Caenorhabditis elegans: one gene and its partners. The protein of the gene in region 1 interacts with the protein of each later gene in a pairwise test. Each region holds a gene or a part of one and is shown in the gene's direction. Other genes may lie near its edges. The genes, in order: T04C9.1, F08F8.9, fkh-8 and nhr-114.

Evidence for each region.
Region 2: the proteins of T04C9.1 (region 1) and F08F8.9 interact in a two-hybrid assay, tested with the Caenorhabditis elegans proteins (2 studies listed by BioGRID).
Region 3: the proteins of T04C9.1 (region 1) and fkh-8 interact in a two-hybrid assay, tested with the Caenorhabditis elegans proteins (2 studies listed by BioGRID).
Region 4: the proteins of T04C9.1 (region 1) and nhr-114 interact in a two-hybrid assay, tested with the Caenorhabditis elegans proteins (2 studies listed by BioGRID).

The regions. Positions count from the first base shown.
Region 1 is NC_003281.10:5,991,590-5,996,226, forward strand, and holds the start of T04C9.1 (Rho GTPase-activating protein 26), read left to right. Parts: upstream 1-1,629; 5' UTR 1,630-1,684; coding exon 1,685-1,838; intron 1,839-1,915; coding exon 1,916-2,011; intron 2,012-2,596; coding exon 2,597-2,886; intron 2,887-3,295; coding exon 3,296-3,395; intron 3,396-3,800; coding exon 3,801-3,862; intron 3,863-3,912; coding exon 3,913-3,987; intron 3,988-4,046; coding exon 4,047-4,125; intron 4,126-4,637. Other genes in the region: T04C9.2 (uncharacterized protein), read left to right, coding at 291-641.
Region 2 is NC_003281.10:7,348,750-7,355,612, reverse strand, and holds F08F8.9 (uncharacterized protein), read left to right. Parts: upstream 1-1,641; 5' UTR 1,642-1,659; coding exon 1,660-1,683; intron 1,684-1,821; coding exon 1,822-2,030; intron 2,031-2,076; coding exon 2,077-2,194; intron 2,195-2,756; coding exon 2,757-3,124; intron 3,125-3,504; coding exon 3,505-4,305; intron 4,306-4,888; coding exon 4,889-5,091; intron 5,092-5,673; coding exon 5,674-5,736; intron 5,737-6,110; coding exon 6,111-6,205; 3' UTR 6,206-6,322; downstream 6,323-6,863. Other genes in the region: F08F8.10 (Nuclear transcription factor Y subunit), read left to right, coding at 479-705, 1,171-1,230, 1,278-1,357; gos-28 (Golgi SNAP receptor complex member 1), read left to right, coding at 6,449-6,551.
Region 3 is NC_003280.10:6,189,077-6,193,190, reverse strand, and holds fkh-8 (Forkhead box protein pes-1), read left to right. Parts: upstream 1-1,797; 5' UTR 1,798-1,816; coding exon 1,817-1,981; intron 1,982-2,318; coding exon 2,319-2,513; intron 2,514-2,558; coding exon 2,559-2,628; intron 2,629-2,675; coding exon 2,676-2,774; intron 2,775-2,823; coding exon 2,824-2,906; intron 2,907-2,957; coding exon 2,958-3,071; intron 3,072-3,170; coding exon 3,171-3,270; intron 3,271-3,318; coding exon 3,319-3,479; 3' UTR 3,480-3,568; downstream 3,569-4,114. Other genes in the region: cpb-2 (Cytoplasmic polyadenylation element-binding protein 2), read right to left, coding at 1-262.
Region 4 is NC_003283.11:4,185,294-4,190,513, forward strand, and holds nhr-114 (Nuclear hormone receptor 114), read left to right. Parts: upstream 1-1,909; 5' UTR 1,910-1,915; coding exon 1,916-2,099; intron 2,100-2,313; coding exon 2,314-2,516; intron 2,517-2,714; coding exon 2,715-3,053; intron 3,054-3,108; coding exon 3,109-3,239; intron 3,240-3,315; coding exon 3,316-3,437; intron 3,438-3,489; coding exon 3,490-3,604; exon of another isoform or gene 3,605-3,717; intron 3,718-4,408; coding exon 4,409-4,571; 3' UTR 4,572-4,711; downstream 4,712-5,220. Other genes in the region: Y45G5AM.9 (Aftiphilin clathrin-binding box domain-containing protein), read right to left, coding at 4,723-4,854. UniProt on the Caenorhabditis elegans protein: Probable transcription factor which may have a role in detoxifying dietary metabolites arising from bacterial tryptophan metabolism.

The DNA.
Region 1 (4,637 bases):
GCTTGTGACGTCGTCAACTTCTTCTTCTTCCCCTACTTCTTCCTCCGTCGCCGCTGTCGTCGTTTTTCTTTCCTCTTCATAATCGCTTTCCGTCGACCACTCGAATATTCTGACGTTCGCCGTGCCGCGACTCATCCGTTCGTTTCTATGATTCGAATTTTTTGAGAAAAACTAGAAAGCGTTGATATTGTCAAGTGTTTCGTTTTAGGATATATTCTAAAGACGAAAGGACGGATGCAAGTGTGTGTATGTATTTGTGCCATTGCAATGACGAGAGCGGAGCAAAGAAAATGACGAAGAAGAAGAAGCAGTCCTTCTCTTCGCTCATTCTTCTACTGCTCGTTCTTCCCATATATACTCATTCCCCCCGGAGAATTGTTCTTTTCCGCATTGCTGCTTCCCGTTGCCGCTGTCGTCGTCCGCCTTTCCTTTCGATTCGAATCGGATCGACAAGTTCCAGACGGCAAGAGTCATCCCTTCCATCCATAAACGCCATCACTGTCGTCGTCGTCGTCGCCTTCTTCTTTGAAAAAATGAGAAAAGCTAGAAAAAATGACGAATTGTGTTGGAGTCCTCGTCCTTCTCCTCTGCCTCTCCTTCTTTGGCGATGGCACACAACAGCATGGCCACAACACAAATAACGCGATAACTTTGTTTCGGCTCCTATACAAATTTGGTTATTTTTGTTGGTCGCTCCAACATTTTTTTCGTCCTCATCCGAGCCATGACTTCTCTTCTCCTTTTCCTCTATTTCGTCTCAAACTTCCGTTCTTTTTTACCTAATCATCATTATTAGCCCCATCCTTATCATCTTCTGGAACCCACATCGTCATCTTCGGTTTCTTTCTTTTTGAGGCACAAGCAACAACTACTTTTCTCGCATCTTCTCTCCTCCAGCTTCTCTTCTTTATGAGCCGGGTTAGGGGCTCTTCGAAAATTGTTTCCACTCGGCTGCCTTCGTGTTTTCGACGTGCCCGAACTTGCTCAAAACCGAAGCTCACGCATCGTTAGGTAACGAAAGAATTACACGTAGGAGGGACGCACTGCCGTTTGATTCTTATCTGTCATCGTCAGGATTGTTGCAACCTCTTCAATCCTCCGGATGTGCGTTGATTCCCGCACGATTAGACAATTTGTTGTGAAGGTGTACGCTATGTTTTGTCGTAAAATAGGTCACACTTGGAAGTTTTATTTTGGCAGCTTCATAATTATTCTAATTTATGATGTGATGGATTTTCTTTTTATATTTCATTTATCTGATTACCTTTCTCATTTTCCATATCAATTCTTGCTCGGTTCATCAGCTAATTCCATTGGTAGTGTCAGAATTCATGTAGCAGATAGATAGATACTCATAGATATTCCTTCGTCGCCTCAAGTATCAAGTTTCTTGCTTCTTTTTCTTCTTCTTCTTCTCTTCGCTTGTCCATATCCCCCGCGAGTTCTTCTTTCCTTTTCTTTTAATTGTTTACTTCTTCTCCTCATTCTACTCATCTTTTCCTTCATGTTTCAGAAAAAATTGTGGTATTTTGAGACAATTTTTTCTTTTCATTTCTCTATGTTTGCCTATCACTGAGGCTTTTTCTCTTGAAAATCTCTGCAAATCATTCCAATCAAAAATAATTTCAGGACACCTTGTCCAGTAGACAAAACCCGTCTACTTAGGACTCTGCGCTCATCACAAATGGTGTTACGGGCGCTCGAGTTTTCGGACTCGATATCCGATTCTCCGTGGTTTCGACAAAATTTGCATGATCACGAAGTGGCACTGGACGACGCTTTCAAGAACATCAAGCTCATTGAGAATCAGTGCAAGGAGCTGATTGCGTGCACAAAAAGTATGTGGCTTTTCTCTCTTTTTGACCCTTTACTTTTCCATTTAATCGCGTGGAATTTATAATTATTTTTATTGCAGAGCTTTCAACAGCACAACGAGCATTCGCAAAGACGTTAAGTGAATTCAAGTTTGAAACAGTCGGAACAAATCAGACAGATGATGAACGGTTTATTGGTGAGACTTTTGTTTAGCAAAAATTTATATAAAAAAATACGCGATGTTAAAAAAAAAAGTACAAAACATTTTTATTTTAAAAAAATTTCGCAGTAAAAAAATTAATTTCGGAATTTTATTATCCAGCCAAGAAAAATCGAAATTTGCTGAAAACATGTTTTTAAATGTTTTAAAATTATTAAATTTCAATTTTTTTTAATTTACCATAGTTAAAAAAAAATTTTAAACATTTTTAGGAATAGCAAAAAAGAGTATTTTGCCGTAGCAACCGTTCATTTTTGCCAAATTTTTCAAAGTCATATTTTTTACAATAAAAAAATAGTGTTGAACTCTCTTTTAAAATTTTTTTAATTGTCTCGAATTTCAATATTCCAACAAAGACCTTCGAAATCTGAATTGTTCGTGAAATTTTGAAATTTTTATAAGTTTCCTTCAATAAAAAAATTCGTTTCAGTTTTTTCTCCCAAAAAATCTATCGAAAGTTAACAAAATCCAAATTGCAAGTGATTCTCATTGTAATTTACCAAAATGCTTAATTTTCATAAATATTTTTATTGTCTTTGAAATAATATTTCACATTTTCAGCCACATGTCTAAAAGAATTCGGAAGTCTGATCAATCAAGTCGAAGATGAACGAATGAAACTTGTTGGACAAGCTGAAGAAAGTTATTTGGAACCAATAAAAAAGTTTCGAACTGAGGCGATTGGTAGAACATTGAAAGAGGAAAAGAATAAATATGACAAAGAAAGTAGCAAGTTCTATCAAACACTTGAAAAACATCTTCATCTGAGTACTGTTCGTAATAACGATTTTCGAGCCGCTGATGCCCAATTGGAGACTCAACAGAAAAACTTTTTTCAAGCTTCGTTACAGGTTTGAGTTTATAAAGTTGTCTTCAAATTATAAAATTGGAAAAAATTTGTGTTTTAATTTTCAGAATTAATGAAATTTTGGCCATTTTCTATTTTTAGACTAAAATTTCTTTCTAAATTTTTTTTTGGAAAATCGAAGGAATTTTGGTTTTTCGAATTAAAAAAAATCAACAAAAAAAATTTTTTTTCTGAAATATTGCGAATTTAAAATTTCTTTCAAAAAAAAAAAAACTTTCTGCCTTTTCAGAATTTAAAAAAATCAAAAGTTTTCGTTTTTAGTTTTTCTAAATAGTGTAATTCAAGTTTTTAAGAATTTGCCGTTGGAAATAGTACAATATAAATTGCTATTTTCAGTTAAAAAGTATATTCAACATAATTTCTCAAAAATAAAAAATAAAAAAAATTTACAGTATGTGGCAGAAGTTCAATCAGTTCAAGAACGAATGCGGTTCGAGTTTGTCGAAACATTAGGATCTTATGTTTATTCGTGGCTTTCATTTTTTCATGTTGGTAAGTATTTGTACAGGTAAAAAAAAGTTTCTGAATGATTATACAAATTTTATAAATTTGAATATTTTTCACAAAAAAAAATAGAAATTACTTGAAAAATCAGATTTTCGACAACTTTGTCTCGATTATAATTTTGAAAATAAAACTAACTATTTTAAATCACAAACTTTTCTATTTCACTTACAGAAATTCGGATTTCATGTAAAATTTCGACCAGAATGAAAAAAAAATTAAAAATTAAACAAAAATATATTTTTTCATTTTTTTTCTATAAATTATCGAAATATCATCGAAAATGAAGAAAAAAAAATCAAACTACTCACAAAAAGGCATTATTATTTTTAAATTTGGTTTCCAGACACATCATTTTTTTTTGCATTTTTCTAAAACTTTTTCCTGTTTCAGGTAGTGTGATTCATCAAGATTTCAAACCATTCCTTGACAATGTACAAACAAAAGTTCAAAAGGTTAGTTTAAAAAACTCTCCCCGTCAGATCGAAATTTTATCGAATTTCAGACAAAGGAAAATTATAATGCAACGAATGCTGAGGCAGAAGAGCTTAAGAAAAAACTGTTGGCTTCTCATACAAAAGTAAGTTTTTTCATACTTTGGAATTTCATATTCATCGCAAATTTTTATTGAAATTACAGCCGGGTTCTGAAGATCGACGACCGACGCCATCAATTAAACAAGGATACGTGTATATGCAGGAAAAGAGCAAAATTCCGAGTAAGTTTCTATATACAAAATTTGGTTTATTAAAAAAATTCAAAATGAAAAAATGCATCTGAAAGTTCTCGATTTTAGAAAAAATCAACCAGAAAATTATTATTTTATGAATAAAATATTCGGTTTTCACAAAATGAGAGCCTCTTTTAAAAATTAAAATTTTTCGTTCGATTTTGTTATTTTTTATAAAAATCTAACTAATATTTTCAAAAAATAAATTACCAGTTTCAATTGTGAAAATCTTTTCCAAAAATTATTTTCAATTTTTCAATTGGCCTGAAATTTGAAAATTTCACTAAAAAAATTACTGAAATGTGGTTTTAAATTTAGAAAAAAATAAAATGATAGTAAAGAAAACAAGAGACTTAACAGTTTTGTAGCGTTACAGTAACCACTTTGAAAGATAATTCACAATTAATTTTGCAAAATTAGGACAAAAATTTTCGATGATAAAAAAATTAATTTTAAGACTTTTGAAAGTCGATAATTATAAATCGCTATAAGAATACAAA
Region 2 (6,863 bases), 1.4 Mb from region 1:
TATCATGTATAACAAAGAAAGTAACCAGTTTGTACCTGTGTATACCTTCTTGGAAAACAGGCGGTATTTCTGATAATCAACTTGTTTAATCGGAAGTTTTGGAATTTAATTTTAATAACTCCCTACATAAATGTTTTACGAAGTAGTGCATATGCTGAGTCATTTTGCAGTAAATTCATATTTCTGCTGAGAAACTCACACATGCTCAGCTTCTCAAATTATACAACAATTCAGAACTTTCTCTAAAACTGAGGTTTGAGAAAAAATTCATGATATGTTATCGAGTAGCCTATTCCCGAATTACTATATTCATGATGCATCATGTGCTAAATTGCTTCTCACGGAGTTCAAGCATGAAAGTCGAAATTTGAATTGTTCAATATGTTCTTATGAATGAATTTGAATGCCTACTGAAACATGTAGTCGAAAACTTCATCATTTATAAAGAGACCATATTTTAAAGTGAGAAAATTTCCAGCTATGCTTCTCAATACTGTGGCCGTTCAGACTACAGTAATCATCACTCCTCCTATCACGATTCTCATCATCCACAGGATGACTTTTATTATCAAGATGGCCGTCCGATGAAAGCTAATAAAAATCCGAACTCGTTCGGTTCTCGGCGCCGTGGAAGACATCACTCAGGGCAAAATTTCGATGTAGATGAACATGAGTATTATGACGATGATCATGGAGCACGCGAAGGTACAGAACATATACCACACTAAATATTTTGAAAGAATATGATTATAGTAAAGTGTAAATTTAGAAAAAAAAACAGTACCCAAGTTAGATTCGTGTGTTTAACCGAATCTTCTAATTGGTACTATTATTCTGTAGAGCCTGCCAATATTTGAGCTTTTGTTTCTCAGTGGAGATACAATTATCTCGTGATGCTAATGTTTCGGCTTGGTTTTGATTATTCAATCATACCATTAAGACCACAGGAGCAATAACTATATTATGTGGTGTACTGTAGAAGAAACAATTCACCATTGCACATTTGAATTCAACTTTGGAAATTTTATTTCGAGGTGTGATTTTCTTGTGAGTAAAATTGTAACTACAAAATTTTTCATATCTGAATTTTTGCAGTTGATCATTTTCAATATTCAAATTACTATTTATTGAAACGTACTCCCTTTTCCTGATAAGTTGGATGTTTTCCAGGTTCATCCTCTTGGAATCGGCCGGTTGACTCCCATCATTATCAAGGAAAAATTAAGCCCGGTAATAAGACATAACTTTGGTTTGTTGCAAGCAAGTTTCATTTTCAGCATTCCCAAAAAAGAGTCGCGGTGGGAATAAGAAGTATCCTAAAAATCAATATCAACACGGAGGAATGGAATATGACTAGAAGGAATGTAGTGGCGATTTCCATTTGTAAATGTTTTAATACTAGTGTTATAAATGTTATGCTTTGTTCAACTAATGAATAAATTATAATTTTTCCCTTCTTTTCCCTGTAAACTTGTAGACGTTGAAAAATCGTCTTTATTATATATTTTTTTAACTGTTCCCTTCTAAACTTTGCCACGTTAAAGTGGTGCGTCGTGACGTCATAGTGTTTGCGGGCGGTGTCGTAAAGTCTGTTGCACAGCTGTACTTACTACAGAAAACGCTTTAATTTCACAATTTCAGCTGAATATTCTTCCCAAAATGTCATCGGAATGGGATAATAAGGTAATTTTTCTGTTTACTCACAACTTGCGATAACTTTTAAATTATAAATTGTTTTTAATACCAAAAAATCATTAAACTTTTTTTGAAAATGTTAGACAAAAAATAGAAAATGAATAATCGATATAAAATGTTTTCCAGATAATCCCAGTTATCGGAGTTCCACTTGAAGCACGCAAACTCCCATCTGCGCGAATTCCCAAGAAACCCAAGGAGACCGATGGAAATTCAACTGAAACTGTGGTCAACTCTACTGAGAAGCCTGAAGAAAGGAAGGAAAAACCTCCGAAACCACCAAAGCAAAAACAGAAACAAAAACAAAATCTAAACAACAAGTTTTTGAAAAATTTGTGAGAAAGTCTTTAATTTTTTCATTTTTTATTTTGTTTTTCTCAGAATCACCGATACTGGTAAACCGGCAAGTATGAACGGGCTTTTTGTGGCAGAAGAGGAGGCTAAACTCACTTTACTGGAGAAAAAGGCAATGAAGATCCATATTGAAGAGAATACATTGGTAAGTTTTTTTTTGATTTACTACTTTAAAGTAAAATTAAAAATTCGCTTTAAATGGCAGAATATGGACCTTAATTATCTAATATAACTGTTAAAAAGTTCTATTATTCAAAAAAATTCAATTTTTCAAAATTCAAAAAAATTAGTTGAATGTTTTGAGATTTTCGCGTTTTCTGGCTATATTTATCGATTTTTCTCCATTTTTCTGTAATATTTGACTCAAAACACAGTTTGCCAATTTTTCAAACATTTTTATAATAGAAAAATTATAGCTTTTTTAATGGCAATTTTGAAGTTTTAGCGAAGTTTTATAGTTATTAAGGTTTCTTTACGGAAAGACTTCTGAAAAATAGACGAACTATGTCGCAAATCAAGAGATTAAGATAAACGGAAAAAAACCTTTTTAATATAGACTGAAAGCGCAAAAATATTAAAAACTTGCACAAAAAAAAAGACTAAACATTTTGGTATATTTCATAATTTTTTAAACAGTTTTATTCGATCATTGCTATCCATTTTAAGCCAAATTTGAAAACTCTACCTTAAAATAAACGTTTCTACAGAGTGATCCCCAGTTTCCGACTTATACAACGAAGCATCAAGGCAGAATAAAGTTCAAATGCAGATTGCTATGGCTTCTCAACAAGGAAACATTTATGAAAAGAGCTAATAAACCTCATCTCGCCAATATTGTGGTAAAACAAGCACACATGGAAGCTGTTCCGCCGAAACAGAATGTTAATCAAAAGAAACAGATGAAAAATCAGGAAAAAAACAAAAACGCCAAACCACTGATGGATATCAAATTTGATGAAAAAGCCAGATCATTCAAGCAAAGAACGGGAGAAGATTACAATGGTGGTTTTGATATTTCGTCGAACTATCAAGGTTCGGAAGGATCCGGAGGATATCAACATATCGGAAATACTTGGTAAGTCGTGATTAAAAAACTTTACAAGTTCGGACAACAGGGCTGGGGAAAAAATTACAAAAAAATTTTAGGTGTTGATCTTGGACCAAAAAAATACGAAAATCAAAACATTTAAATTGGTTTAAAAAAACCAAAAAGAAGTAGAGTCTATTAAAGATTTATAGATTTCGAGAAGACTATTAAAAAACCACATTTTTCTTTTTTTAAAAAATTGCAAATTATGAAAAGTGTTTAATGTACTTACTGAAAGTGTTTTTTTGGGATTTTTGTGTCAAAAATTAAAAATTTATCAGCCCTGTTGACAATCGAGCGATTAAAATAAAGAAAGCAATTTTTGAATAAAAAATTATTAATTACAAAATTTCAAAGTATAATTTCAGGCCTAACACCGAGAGTCAATGGAATTACGATCCTTCAACAAATGGATATTCGACTTTCCTTGCATCAACTCCAGACACTTCTACGACTTATCAGCCATATCAACCATCAGAATATGCCAATTTTTCTCGTCAATTGGAATCTTCGTCGAGTTCTGTTCCTGTATATGGTGGAGCTACGGATCCAACACAAACATCAACATCTTCTGTCATTTCGTTTGGTGTTGCAGTGCACGAACCAATATCTGAATCCTCGGCATCTGCTTATGATGATCCAACAAGAAACCATTGGAACCCACAATCTGCCACGAGTGACTATTCAACCGTTCCAACTTCTGGAACTTCCAATGTTTTCCCATCGTACCAGACATCAGAATATTCTTCTTTTCCAAATCAAACTCCATCTTCTTCTTCTTCATATCAACAGTCTTCACAATATACTCCGATGGTTCCAGATTTGATAAATCAAGCAATTAATGGTTACACAACTCCACAATATAATCAACCGAATCAGCAAGTAAATCAAGATTTCAACACGAATCAATTTTCCGCTTCTCTTGCTTCTCTCCATTCACAACCTTTGGAAGCTTCCGAAGATGAACTTTTGAGACAAAAAAGACTTATGGAAATTGAGCAAGAGCTTCATATGATCAACGCGAAGAAAATGCATATGCAAATGGAAGCTGAAATTCGGCATCGAGAAATGGAATTGGCAAAGAGGCAGCAATTGATGGAGCTGAGGGAAAGAGAGCTCAGAGATAGAGAATGTTTCGAGAATGGTAGAACTCATGCGGGTCATACAGGGTACGTTTTTGAAATAATTGAACAAGTCCTTTTTTAATACTATCCCATATTCCTGTTTTTTTTCATATTTTTCTGCCTTCTCTTTTGAAGGATAAGTTGATATGAGAGATTCCACTAAATTCCCAATATATTCGTCTAATTTTTTTGAGATGTAACAATCAATTGATTTTTCTTTGATTATTTAATTGAAATTAACCTTCGATTACGATCACAGTTTTCAACTTTTCATTGTTTCTTTCGAATTCAGAAACATCGGACAGTGACCTCTAGTTCTGAAGTAACTGAATTCGTTCTGGCTAATCATTGAAAGACTCTGAACGAAAATATTTGAAAATGGGAAAATTGTGGCTCAGAATGTTATAATCGATCGTTTGAGATTTCTAATCGCCATCTGTAAAGCTCTGAGATACTCGTTTAGAATTACATCAAGCTTAGGCTTTGTGAAACATTTTGTGTCCATTCACAAAAAAGTTTGAGGAAATATATTTTGTTTTCTACTTTTATTCCCCCTATTCAACCCCCCCCCCCCCCATATCTTGTAGAATTTCAGATTAACTGATATTCTATTATCCCCTCTTTTCAGCCAGCACAACTATGATAATCGAGAATACAGTTCCCATCACGAATCTAAAAATCCATCTGTTGGCGGCAACTATTCTTCGACTTCGCGGTCGATAAGCATCAACGAGGATCCCGCTGCTTCTCACTATTATGGACAACGAGTCGAAAGAAAGAAGAGACTGGGAGGAGAATTAGCGAGACGACAGGGAAGAGTCTACGAAGAAGGTACAGACAAACGATTTCACATGATGACGCGTTTTCTTTCTTGGATTTTCGATTTTTCTCTCTTTCATAATGTTTTTTGGTTATTTTTGCAGTCAGTATTCAAATCGTAACAGAGGGTTTTTCCAAAAATTACGATTAGAACTTCTGACGCTAATAATCTTCAAATTTGACTATTTCTACTCCCCATCATTGGACTTCCACGTAGGCGTCAAAATGCCTGCCTCGCGCCTCAAACCGGTGCCTTCTGCTAAAATACACATGAATTTAATTTTTTCATTTCTCAATTTGATTCACATTAAATTGATTGAAATTACAAAATATAAATTCGTAAAGTAATGTCAGAATGCAGAAAGAGGCGAGAGGCTGGAAGGTTTCAGGCAGGCACCTAGACCTTCAAACCACGCATGCCTACCTACCAAGATGTATAATACCTGTTCGATAATTTAACGATTTTTGAAGCATAAAATCAAAATTTGTTGGTTTTAATTACTGGGCTGAATATACTCATTCCTGATTCAAATAATTCCCAGCTGATTCCCCAAATCTTCTTATTTCAAATATCCTCATACTTTCTATTTTCAGTTTCAAGCCCAGGCCCATTGAAGCGATCGGCTGATCAAAGTAGAGCAGGAAGTATTCAACCAGGTAATCAAACAAAAAACTTTTTTCAATCATAACCTATAGGTCTATAGTTGCAAAAAAATCGAGTTTTGATGCAAAGTTACAGTACCCGGTCTCACGCCTTTCAAGAGTACAGTAGTTCGCCACCCCCAGTTATTTAATACTTTATCTGCCTTTTCATTGACATTGCTCTTAAAATTTCTTTGAAAACAAATATTAAATAAAATAATTTTTAAAAGTATTTGATGTGATCACATCAAAGAAACGAGATAAATAGCAAGGAAAATTCGCAACTACAGTAATCCATAAAAGTTCATAAATGTTTCTGTCGCGCCATGACCGGATCCAGTAATTTCTTATCAAAAATGGCAAAGTGGTAATACACATATTTTTTTCAGCTGAAGGTCCCAGCAGGAAACAACGTCGTCGTAACAACAAAAACGTTCAAGTAACGGTCAATATGGAAGATATCAGTGATGACGAAGAAGTTTGATTCACAATTGGCTGGAAAACTTTGTTTTGTTCGAAATCAATTCAATCGTAGAATCGTTATTGGAAAATCTCGTTCTTTTTTAATTCAATTTAAGTTTTTGAATGAAGTTTTACTCATAACTTCCGTTTAATTTTATTTGTTGTTAATTTTCTAATCGTCAAAATATCGATGAATATATTTATTTCTCATAGTAGTGACCAACATTTCAGTCACTCGAAAAAACAATACTTTCAGGAACACAGAATGTCAGAAACTTGGGAAGCGTTGCGGAAGAAAGCCCGAAGCACAGAAAATTCCATCGATGTCAAGCTCGTCTCCCTGAATAAATTAACGGCTAGCTCTCATGGTAAGTATTACCAAGAATTTTACGATTTTATCCTCAGAAAATACGATACCGGGTCTTGACACGAAACATTTTCATAAAATACAAAAAAGTGTGCGCCTTTGAAGAGTACTGCACTTTCTGAATTGTGTTGATGCGGAAGTTTCAAAAAAAATATATGTATTTATTTGAAAAACCCAAATATTATATATTCTGAAAAAAAAACTTTAAAAAAGAAAAAGAAACTAATGAAAAAACCAAAAAGGGCATTTATAAAGAACATTTTCGTGTCGAGACCGGGTACAGTATTTTTGGCGTTTGAATAACCAACTTTCG
Region 3 (4,114 bases), on another chromosome or scaffold:
CCAATGGAGTGCTGGAATTCCAGTCCTGTCTTTCACGAAACATATCATTGGATTTGGCATTTTGCTGTTCCAATTCTTGAGTGACCAAGTTATTTTGTTTGAAAAAATGTTCATCTAGCACATCATCTTTTGCAGTGTCCATCATACCACGACATTTACGACGATTCATCTTCGACAGCTTGTGTTCTTCAAATCTATCACCATTACCCCAGAAGTCATCATCTCCTTGCATTGAGAGAAACACGCGCCTTGATTTTGACATCTGAAGTGATTTTGGTTCCACGTTGTCATGTTCTAGAAACTTCGCTCACCTTCGAAATTCGCGTAGGCAATCGATACAAAATATTATTCAGAAATAATCAAAACTCCGGTTGTTCATCTGATGAGACGTTTCACGCGGATGGCATTTTATTTTCATGTCCCAATGCCCTCAATTCATTTATTTCATTTTAATCACGTTTTTTGTTCAGAATGGAATCACATCTCTAAAATTTGAATTACAATTGAAATCATTTTTTTAATCAGCTGTAATCTCTGCAACAATATTTTTTAATTACCCCGTAGAGTGCAAGAATCAAGATTAATATAGGAAATACGGTATTTATGTTTTCCTTACGGGCTATAGATTTGTAATCTAAACGCTCTAAAACTACATACAGTTATTCAGCAGCACAAAAATCTAAAAATGTTTTCCAATTTCGATTTATGTCATATATTTGAAATCAATGATCAAATGAATATAAGTGAGTTTCAGAATGATATAATACATTGAATGTATTCTTTCTCGTGTTTTGCACCTTTTCTTTCTATTTTCTCACACAATCAGCCGCCGTCTTGTTTCACTTCTGACCAGAAATTATCGCCTCGCGCGTATTTTCAAAAGGGTTCTGACGCATTCTCCCCTAGCAGTTGTCTATAACTTCCCAAATTTAGATTTATATTCTCAGAAGTGATGTTTTTTCAGGCCCGGCAGTATGAAATAAAAACAACGAGTTGATGGTATAGTATACTCATTATTTATTTTTTCGAGTAAGTCAAACTGAATACAATATTCTAAAATAAACTTTAGTTATTTAAAGATGACTATGTCAGGTGCAATCGAGTTCCACCAAAAATCAGCTCACTTTTGTTGTAAAATTAATAGACTGAACATGCGTTTTTTTCTTAGAATAGAAAACCATACGTGTCCATTTTTAAATATCATGATTTTGTTTTGGCAAATTTTGAATATAAATCACTTTAAGAAATTGTTCAAAGTTATTCAACGAGTCATAAAATCACAGAAACTTGTGCTACAGTAACCCAACTACTACGGCTCCCATGCTAATGAATGTTGTTTTACAAAAATATCATATCTGAATAAGAATACCTGGAAAAACCTGAATACGTTTTGTGTTCGTTCTCAACACCCCAAAAATAAGAATTTTTTCCAAGACTTGTTTCGTTTGAATCACTCTGTCGTGGATCTCGTTGAGGTTTCGATGTTTGCTCTTTTACTTACTTTTATTTCTTTTTTATTTGTTGTCTTGTTGGTCCCACCTTCTCCTTATTCTATGACTCATTCATGCACAGACTAACATTCGCTCCTCTTTTTCCCTGAAGCCGTTCAGTCTGTTGGTTGCCCCAACGACGCCGCCTGCTCTGCATCGATTTTCGTGTCACCTGCTTGCTGCATTCCTCGCTTCTCTTCTTTTCCTCTTCATTCCATTTTCACAAACCTCATGCATTTCCAATCTCAATTATTCCTCCATTCATCCACCGATTCTCCTCTTTTTTAAGATCCACAGTTTTAATTTCAGAAGGTCAATCACTTGTGATGTCAGATCTAAGCTCAAGCTTGTGCCAATTGAACTGGCTCATTGCCAAAGGTGGACTGAACACAGTACAAGAAATCGAAGTACCTGAAAACCCTAATATTGTTGGATCTGTGAATGTTTCGCCACTGGTCCTATCTCCTACAGTACCTGCAGAAACGTCAAAGGCAATTTTAATAAATATTTGAAATGTCATAGAAAATCAGAGAACTCTTTCAATTATGCTCTGAATGTTTTGTTGCAAATCTACTCATATTTTTAGAATTAATAATTTTAATTTAGTTGCAAACATCACTTACATATATTTTTCGAATACATAATCTAAATGACCTGGCCTTTTTCGTCCTTCCTTGAAATTAAATTACGCCGGTAATTTCATACAATTCAATTTCGGTGAGGGTGGCACCTGCAGCGTCATAACTCGAATTAGATTTATGTGGCTGAGGTCAACATCTGGTTTTTAGAAAGATCTATTGCTCTTTTATAATTGCTTTCTAATTTCAGCCAGTGGCTCCTGCACACGAAGGAAAACGGAGGAGAATTTTTGATGGAGCGGATAAGCCACCATATTCATACTCTCAACTTATTCGTCTAGCTATCGAAGATACTCCCGATAAAAAATGTACTCTTGCTGAAATCTACTCTTTCATTGCTCACAACTTTCAATTCTATCGTGAAAACCGGAATTCAAGTTGGAAGGTAATCCTTATTCCGGATATTGGAATTCTACGTTTGAAATTGCAGAATTCCATTCGCCATAATCTGTCATTAAATAAACAATTCAGCCGCATTGAGAAGACTGATGGAGATAGAAGTGAGATAATTATTTAATGATTAATTTAATTGAATTCATTTTTACAGGAGGATGGTGGGTTTGTGTAGATCCGCCAGCCAAGAAACCACGAATTCTCAAAGGATCCCCAGTGCGAGTAAATCCAATTTACGAGCATCTATATCATAGTAATACATAAGATTATAACTGATCAACAATATCAATAATTGTTTTCAGATAAACAAGACATGCCAAATTTCACTCCTCCGCCAGAAGATCCATTCCTGTCAGAAATTAATGGAAATGTACATGAACTTACGGTATCTTATCAAACATTCCCTCATGCAAGCTTAATTTTATTTCATTCACAGGAACACGAAATAAGAGATTTGAATTTGTTCGAGTCATATGATCTAAACTCATCATTCCGTGATGTCTACAATCAAATTTTTGAGAAGTCCACTTCCCCCAATGGGAAGAAGCAAGTAAGTGAAAAAAAAGTTCAGTTCTGAGAAGCAAAATTCTAGAGATCTTGTGTGTTGGAAATTCAATAATTAATTCTTAAAGTATATTATTAACTTCAGGCTGCTCAAATCGATTGGTTGAAAATAAGCTTAGAAGCTGCTGGACTTGATTATCACGATGAACAAGAACTTCAAGAAGTTGATACGGATAAGTTGAAAGGTTAAAATGAAAAGAAACTATTTTTAAACTTAATTTCCAAAAATTTAGATTACGTCTACAATGGATTCCCAGCAGAATGCGACAGTGATGTCTCAACTCCAAGAACAGACTCTGGCCGTCATTCATCCTCAGATTCTGTTCTTTCAGCCACTCTTCAACCAGTTAACAATGATTCAGATGATGAGTATGACTGGGATAAATTGCTATAAATTGTTAATCTAAAGGTTCAAAAACTCACATATTTTTCACACAGTGTCCAAATTTCATTTGTACAAAAATACATTGTTAGTTAGTTTTCATTTTCATATTCATTTTTCGTAAACATTCAATGAATTGTTTACTGATACTATACGCCAAGTTTATGCATGTAGCCACGCCTGTACTTTCCAAAAAAAAATCTGGTAATGGCATTCGATTTCAAATTCGAAAAAAAAAACCTATGTGTCCAAATTTTCATGAGCGATCTAGCCACTTTTTGACTACAGATGTGCACCAACTTTTTTGGTTGAGTACTCATGAGTTGATACAGCAATTAATTATTCAGTCTAACCCCGTTAACCTCCGTCACGTAAATTCAATAAGTGGCAGGAATCCCAATGTCAAAAACGTCATAAAGATTGGAGATGGCGAAATTGAAGACGTACCAAGTATGCTAGTAGACAATTGATACATAAACATACTTGGTACATATTTAAAGATACAGTTTCTTTGACAATACGCGATAACATCTGGAGATGAACTGGAGATGCCATCGTGGAAGCACAAAACAACATGCACAAAAGAGAGAGGCCAACATAGCGATGCTGGAAAAATTAGGGATACAAGTCTGTTTGTTGTCTGCGTC
Region 4 (5,220 bases), on another chromosome or scaffold:
GCAATGAGACTTTCTGACACTACGTGAAGTTGGATTTTTGCAATCTTCCGCGATTTTTTTTTCATTTTGTTTGTGATTTTTTAAAGAAATTTAGGACAATTTTGGATTTTTGCAAAAAGTCGCTTTGAAGTCTGAATAAAAGCATTTTCGGCGTATCCTGCGCGCATGGGTCTCGCCACGCTGACATCGAAAAAAAAAATTCTGAGAATGCTGCGTATTGTGCAACACATTTGCCGCGCAAAATATCTCGCAGCGAAAAAGAAAACTACAGTAATCGTTTAAATGGCTACTGTAGTGCTTTTGTGTCGATTTACGGGAGATCGATTCTTTAATTAAATTCTTCTTTTCAAATATTACCGGTACAGAGAGTGTAGATAGTTGAATGGACACAGACATTCCGGAACCCAAGGGGCGGGGCGCGGGAAGAGACGATTTTTGTCGATTTACGGAGTGTTTTTATTCACAAACTCTCCGTAAATCCATACAAATCGGCTCTTCCCGCAACCTTGGGTTCCGGAATATCTGTGTCCATTCAACTTTCCTCATTCTCTGGACCGGCAATATTCGAAAAGAAGAATTCATTTCAAAAATCGAGCTCGTAAATCGACACAGAAGCACTACAGAAGTCATTTAAACGATTACTGTAGTCTTCTTTTTCGCTACGAGATGTTTTGCGCGTCAAATATGTTATGCAATACGCATTCTCAGAATTTTTTGTACAAATATTGATGTTTTTATTTTAATCATAAGATGGTTAAATTTACCAACAACTAATTCTTAAATTGATTAGCACTTATCAGTGTCTTATCAGCAATCAAATGACCAAAACATCTAATAGGACGAATTTTCGCCTATTTCTCAGCAACTAACAATGCAACTTTCTCATTCTTCATGTCTCCTGTATCATAGACAAATTGATTAGCTCACGTAGTGCCAGACGGTCCCATTACGGTTTGATCTACAAAAAATGCGGAAATTTTCGCCCAAAAAAATGTGTGACGTCAGTACGTTTTTAACCATCCGAAAACAGTTGAGAACTCTGCGTTTCTTCTCACCCGCATTTTTTGTAGATCAACGTAGATCAATCCAAAATGAGACACTCTGCCACCACGTGTAGCTTCTTCTTCTGCTGCTGCTGCTACAGTCTGTGTGTACAAAAGTCTTCTCACATAGTAGGTAGGTGCAGACTTCTTTCTTTATCAAATCTTCCCTTCTTCAACATTACATGGCGTGGTTTTCTCGTGGCATTTTCCAAGAGAGGCTCCACCCCCCCCCCCCCCCCCATCGCATGTACTTTGTTCATTGGTCAAGAAGAATCGTATATAACGGGCAGCGATAACGTCCCAAATCTTTGTCGTATGACGACGGGGACGATCGGAAATTGAGAGGAGGAGGGGGTAGTGTGAAAAATACATGAGGACGCGATGAAGCTGCTGGTCAGCAGCAGGCCCCAAGCCACTGTGTTTTATTGCAAGACAGTTCGATCTTCACGTTGATATCAGACATATATAGAATATACATCTCAAGGTCTTCTATTCTCATTTCTTAGGCAGCCTGTTAATATGTTGATAATGAACAATCATTTGACCGCCCGTTTTTCCGAGTCACTTCATCAAGGACTTGATTTCTTTCCAAAAAAACTTCCAAAACCACCCAGCAAATCATTGTTTCAAAAAAAGTTTGCTCAAATGATTAGAAATCAAAAGTTCAAATGTTTTTTTGCAACAGCTGTCCCTAGCCTGTCTCACATCACAGTTCAATTGTTGTAGTTTACCTCTCCTCTTCTCCTTCATTTTATCTCTAAAACGCATCGATTCGGGGGCACTTTGCATTTGTTATCGTGTCTAGTGTCTCTTGGCATTATTCTCGTTGTCACAAAAAAAACCAATACAAACAAGGCGTATTTCAGGTCAAAATGACACCTCAATCGTCTCCGAGCTCGTCTCGTGATCACGTTTGTCTCGTTTGTCAAGATTTCGCTTCTGGCTACCATTATGGTGTCCCGTCATGTGTCGGATGCAAGACATTTTTCCGGCGAACAATTATGAAGAAACAAAAGTACATTTGCCAATTCGAGGGCAATTGTCCAGTTGATAAAAGTGAGTTATTTAGCACACTTGGTGTCAGGCTGTCCCATTTCGGTTTGATCTACAAGAAATGCGGGGATTTTTCGCCCAAAAAATGTGACGTCAGCACGTTCTTAACCATGCGGAATCAGTTCCGCAATTCTCGTAGATCAAAACGAAATGGGACACTCTGACACCACTTGTTAGCAGTAACAAGGAACTTATAAAAAATATTTCAAAAGTTCAGCTATCCGCTGTGCCTGCCGATACTGCCGATTCGAGAAATGTTTGAGCGTGGGAATGGACCGAAACGCCCTCCAACAAAACCGTGACCCTATCGGATACACAAAACGTACCAGGCGTCCAAAAAAAGAGCTGAAGACTACCTCGGACTGTTCAAGTGACGAAGGAGCAAGCACCCCACCATCAGTGTCTCCATTACAGCTATCGGTAATTAATTAGTCCAATTACGGTTTGATCTACAAAAAATGCGAGAATTTTTTTGCCCAAAAAATGTGTGACGTCAGCACGTTCTCAACCATGCAAAATCAGTTGAGAACTCTGCGTCTCTTTTCCCGCATTTTCTATAGATCTACGTAGATCAAGCCGAAATGAGAAACTCTGACACCACGTGATCCCAAATTACAGCCTCCACCAATCTCGCCACTCCTTTTCCAAGCTGCACCACTGAAACCTCGTCGCTGCATCCTACAAACTCTTGCCGAACGCGAAAAGTGTGCAAATGATCTCCGACTCTCCGAATATCTTCCAATCCGATCTCTCCACGAGGCTCTATGCTCAAAGGCTCTGCTGAACGACACGGCTTTTTTGGAAAAGTGGGGACAGCCGAGTGAGAGACATCAGATCTTCGATCTACGATTCGTCAATCACGACGACTACCACTATTGGCACGAGAGAGACTGGTTCTTGTTGACAGAGTATGCCAAAACATTCGATGTTTTTGAGGCGCTCGATTATCAAGATAAGGTTGGAAGAAAACCAGAAACATGTATAACGATTTAATTATTTCAATCCTTTCCAGGCCGAACTTGTTCGCCATGCCGCAATAACAGTCCCAGTCCTGGTTCAAGTCTGGAACTCCCCGGACTACGGACCAGACACAATTGTATTCCCAGATGGTGCCTACTTCGATCGTACTCCAGAGCCAACCCGGTAAGTTGTCGGTCACATATACTCCAAACCGAGCCCCAATTCCCGTCTCGTTCCGCGTTGTGTTCAATCGTTATAGGCCAGCCGGACTCAACAGGAAAAAGTATCAAATGTTGGATCTCGTGCTCAAGCCGTTCCGTGATCTACAGCTCGACGCAACCGAATTTGCAGCGTTCAAAGCGGTAACGTTTCTGAATCCAGGTCCGGGCGGAATCTCAATAAGAGCCAAACTTTCACTTTGATGCGATTCCAGACGCTGACATCTCTCTACCGGCTCGCAAGCTTGTGAACAACGAACGAGTCCGCATCACCAAGCAGTTATACGGCTACATGGCCATGAAAGACGACGTGGACACGGCAATCGAAAGGTTGGTGAAATCACGTTTTTCCTTCCTTTGATGCATTCATCTATTACTCGCTTGTCGATCAAATCAAACATTGATAGATCACAATTTGATGTGTCTTGTTGCGGACTAGCTAAGTAAGCTAAGTTGGAACACTTTGACCAAAATTTCGGTAAATTCTCTAAATTTTGCTAAATTTTCAAATTTTTGGTAAAATGCTAAAATTTTGGTAAATTCTCAACATTTTGGTAAAATGCTAAAATTTTGGAAAAATTCTCACAATTTTGGGAGGCACCACGGAAACGAGAACATGTGAAAAAGGAGAATTACGAAAAGGAGAACACAAAACCACGCCTATTTATCCGTGCCGAGCGCAAGTTTTTGCATAAACTTGTGCAAATTTTTATTTTCAAACGAGACAACGAAGATCCGAACTAACGAATTCGTGTGATAAACAACACGCGATACGTTCTTTCGGAGCTTCGCGTTATCTCGTTTGAAAATAAAAATTTGCACAAGTTTCTGCAAAAACTTGCGCGCGGCATGGAAAAATGGGCGTGGTTTTGTGTTCTCCTTTTCGTAATTCTCCTTTTTCACATGTTCTCCTTTCGGTGGTGCCTCCAAAAGTTTTGGCAATTTATTAAAAAATTGGCAATTTACCAAAATTTTAAGAATTTACCAAAATTTTGAACATTTCCCAAAATTTAGGCAATTTATCAAAAAATTGGCAATTTATTAAAATTTTGAGAATGTACCAAAAGTTCGGCAATTTACCAAAATTTTTAGCCCCCGGCACTGATAGATCACAATTTCATCCCCGTGTTGCAGATTCGCACGATTGGTTCTGATGGGAACGTCCATGTCAAAAATGGCGTGCGAATCGAAAGAGGCCGTGTGGATTGCAGACTTTTTCGAGAATATCGGCTTCTCGGCGTTTGCCCGGCAACTGTTTTTCGGTGATACGACGAGCGTTGTTGCTCACAAATTGTGAAGTGAATAAATTTAAATTTAATAAATTAATTTCCAGAAATATTTACACGCTTGAAAAAAAATCTCAATGCTAATCCTATTTATATACGTTTATTATTATTTTTTTTTTTTGGTATTTTTTTTGCAATAAAGTTTTAACTTTTTTTTCTTACCGCCTGAATTGGTGCAGCAGCAACAACGGCTTCTCCAAAATCTCCCCACTCATCGTCGTCATCGTCTTCTTCTTTCTGTATTTCCGAATTTTGAAATCCCGTAAATTCGTCCTGTGATAATGCAGTCGTCATCTGAAATTACGGGATTTTTGGGGTAAATTTTTGGCAAAATTAGTTCAATTTTTAGAACATTTTTTGACAAAAAAAATTGATTGCAAATTTTAATTTCAAAATGTTGCATTGCTATTTTAAAGTTGATTGAAGGTTTTTGTTCATAATTCAAAGCAGGGGTCGGGGGCAAACGATTTTTCCGGCAAATCGGCAAACTGACAATTTGTCGAAAATGACATTTTCTGGCAAATCGGCGAAATTGCCGGAATTGAAAATTTCCGGCAAATCGGAACACCGGCAATTTGCCGAAAACGAAAAATTCCGGCAAACCGGCAATTTCCCGAAAACGAAAAATTCCGGCAAACCGGCAATTTCCCGAAAACGAAA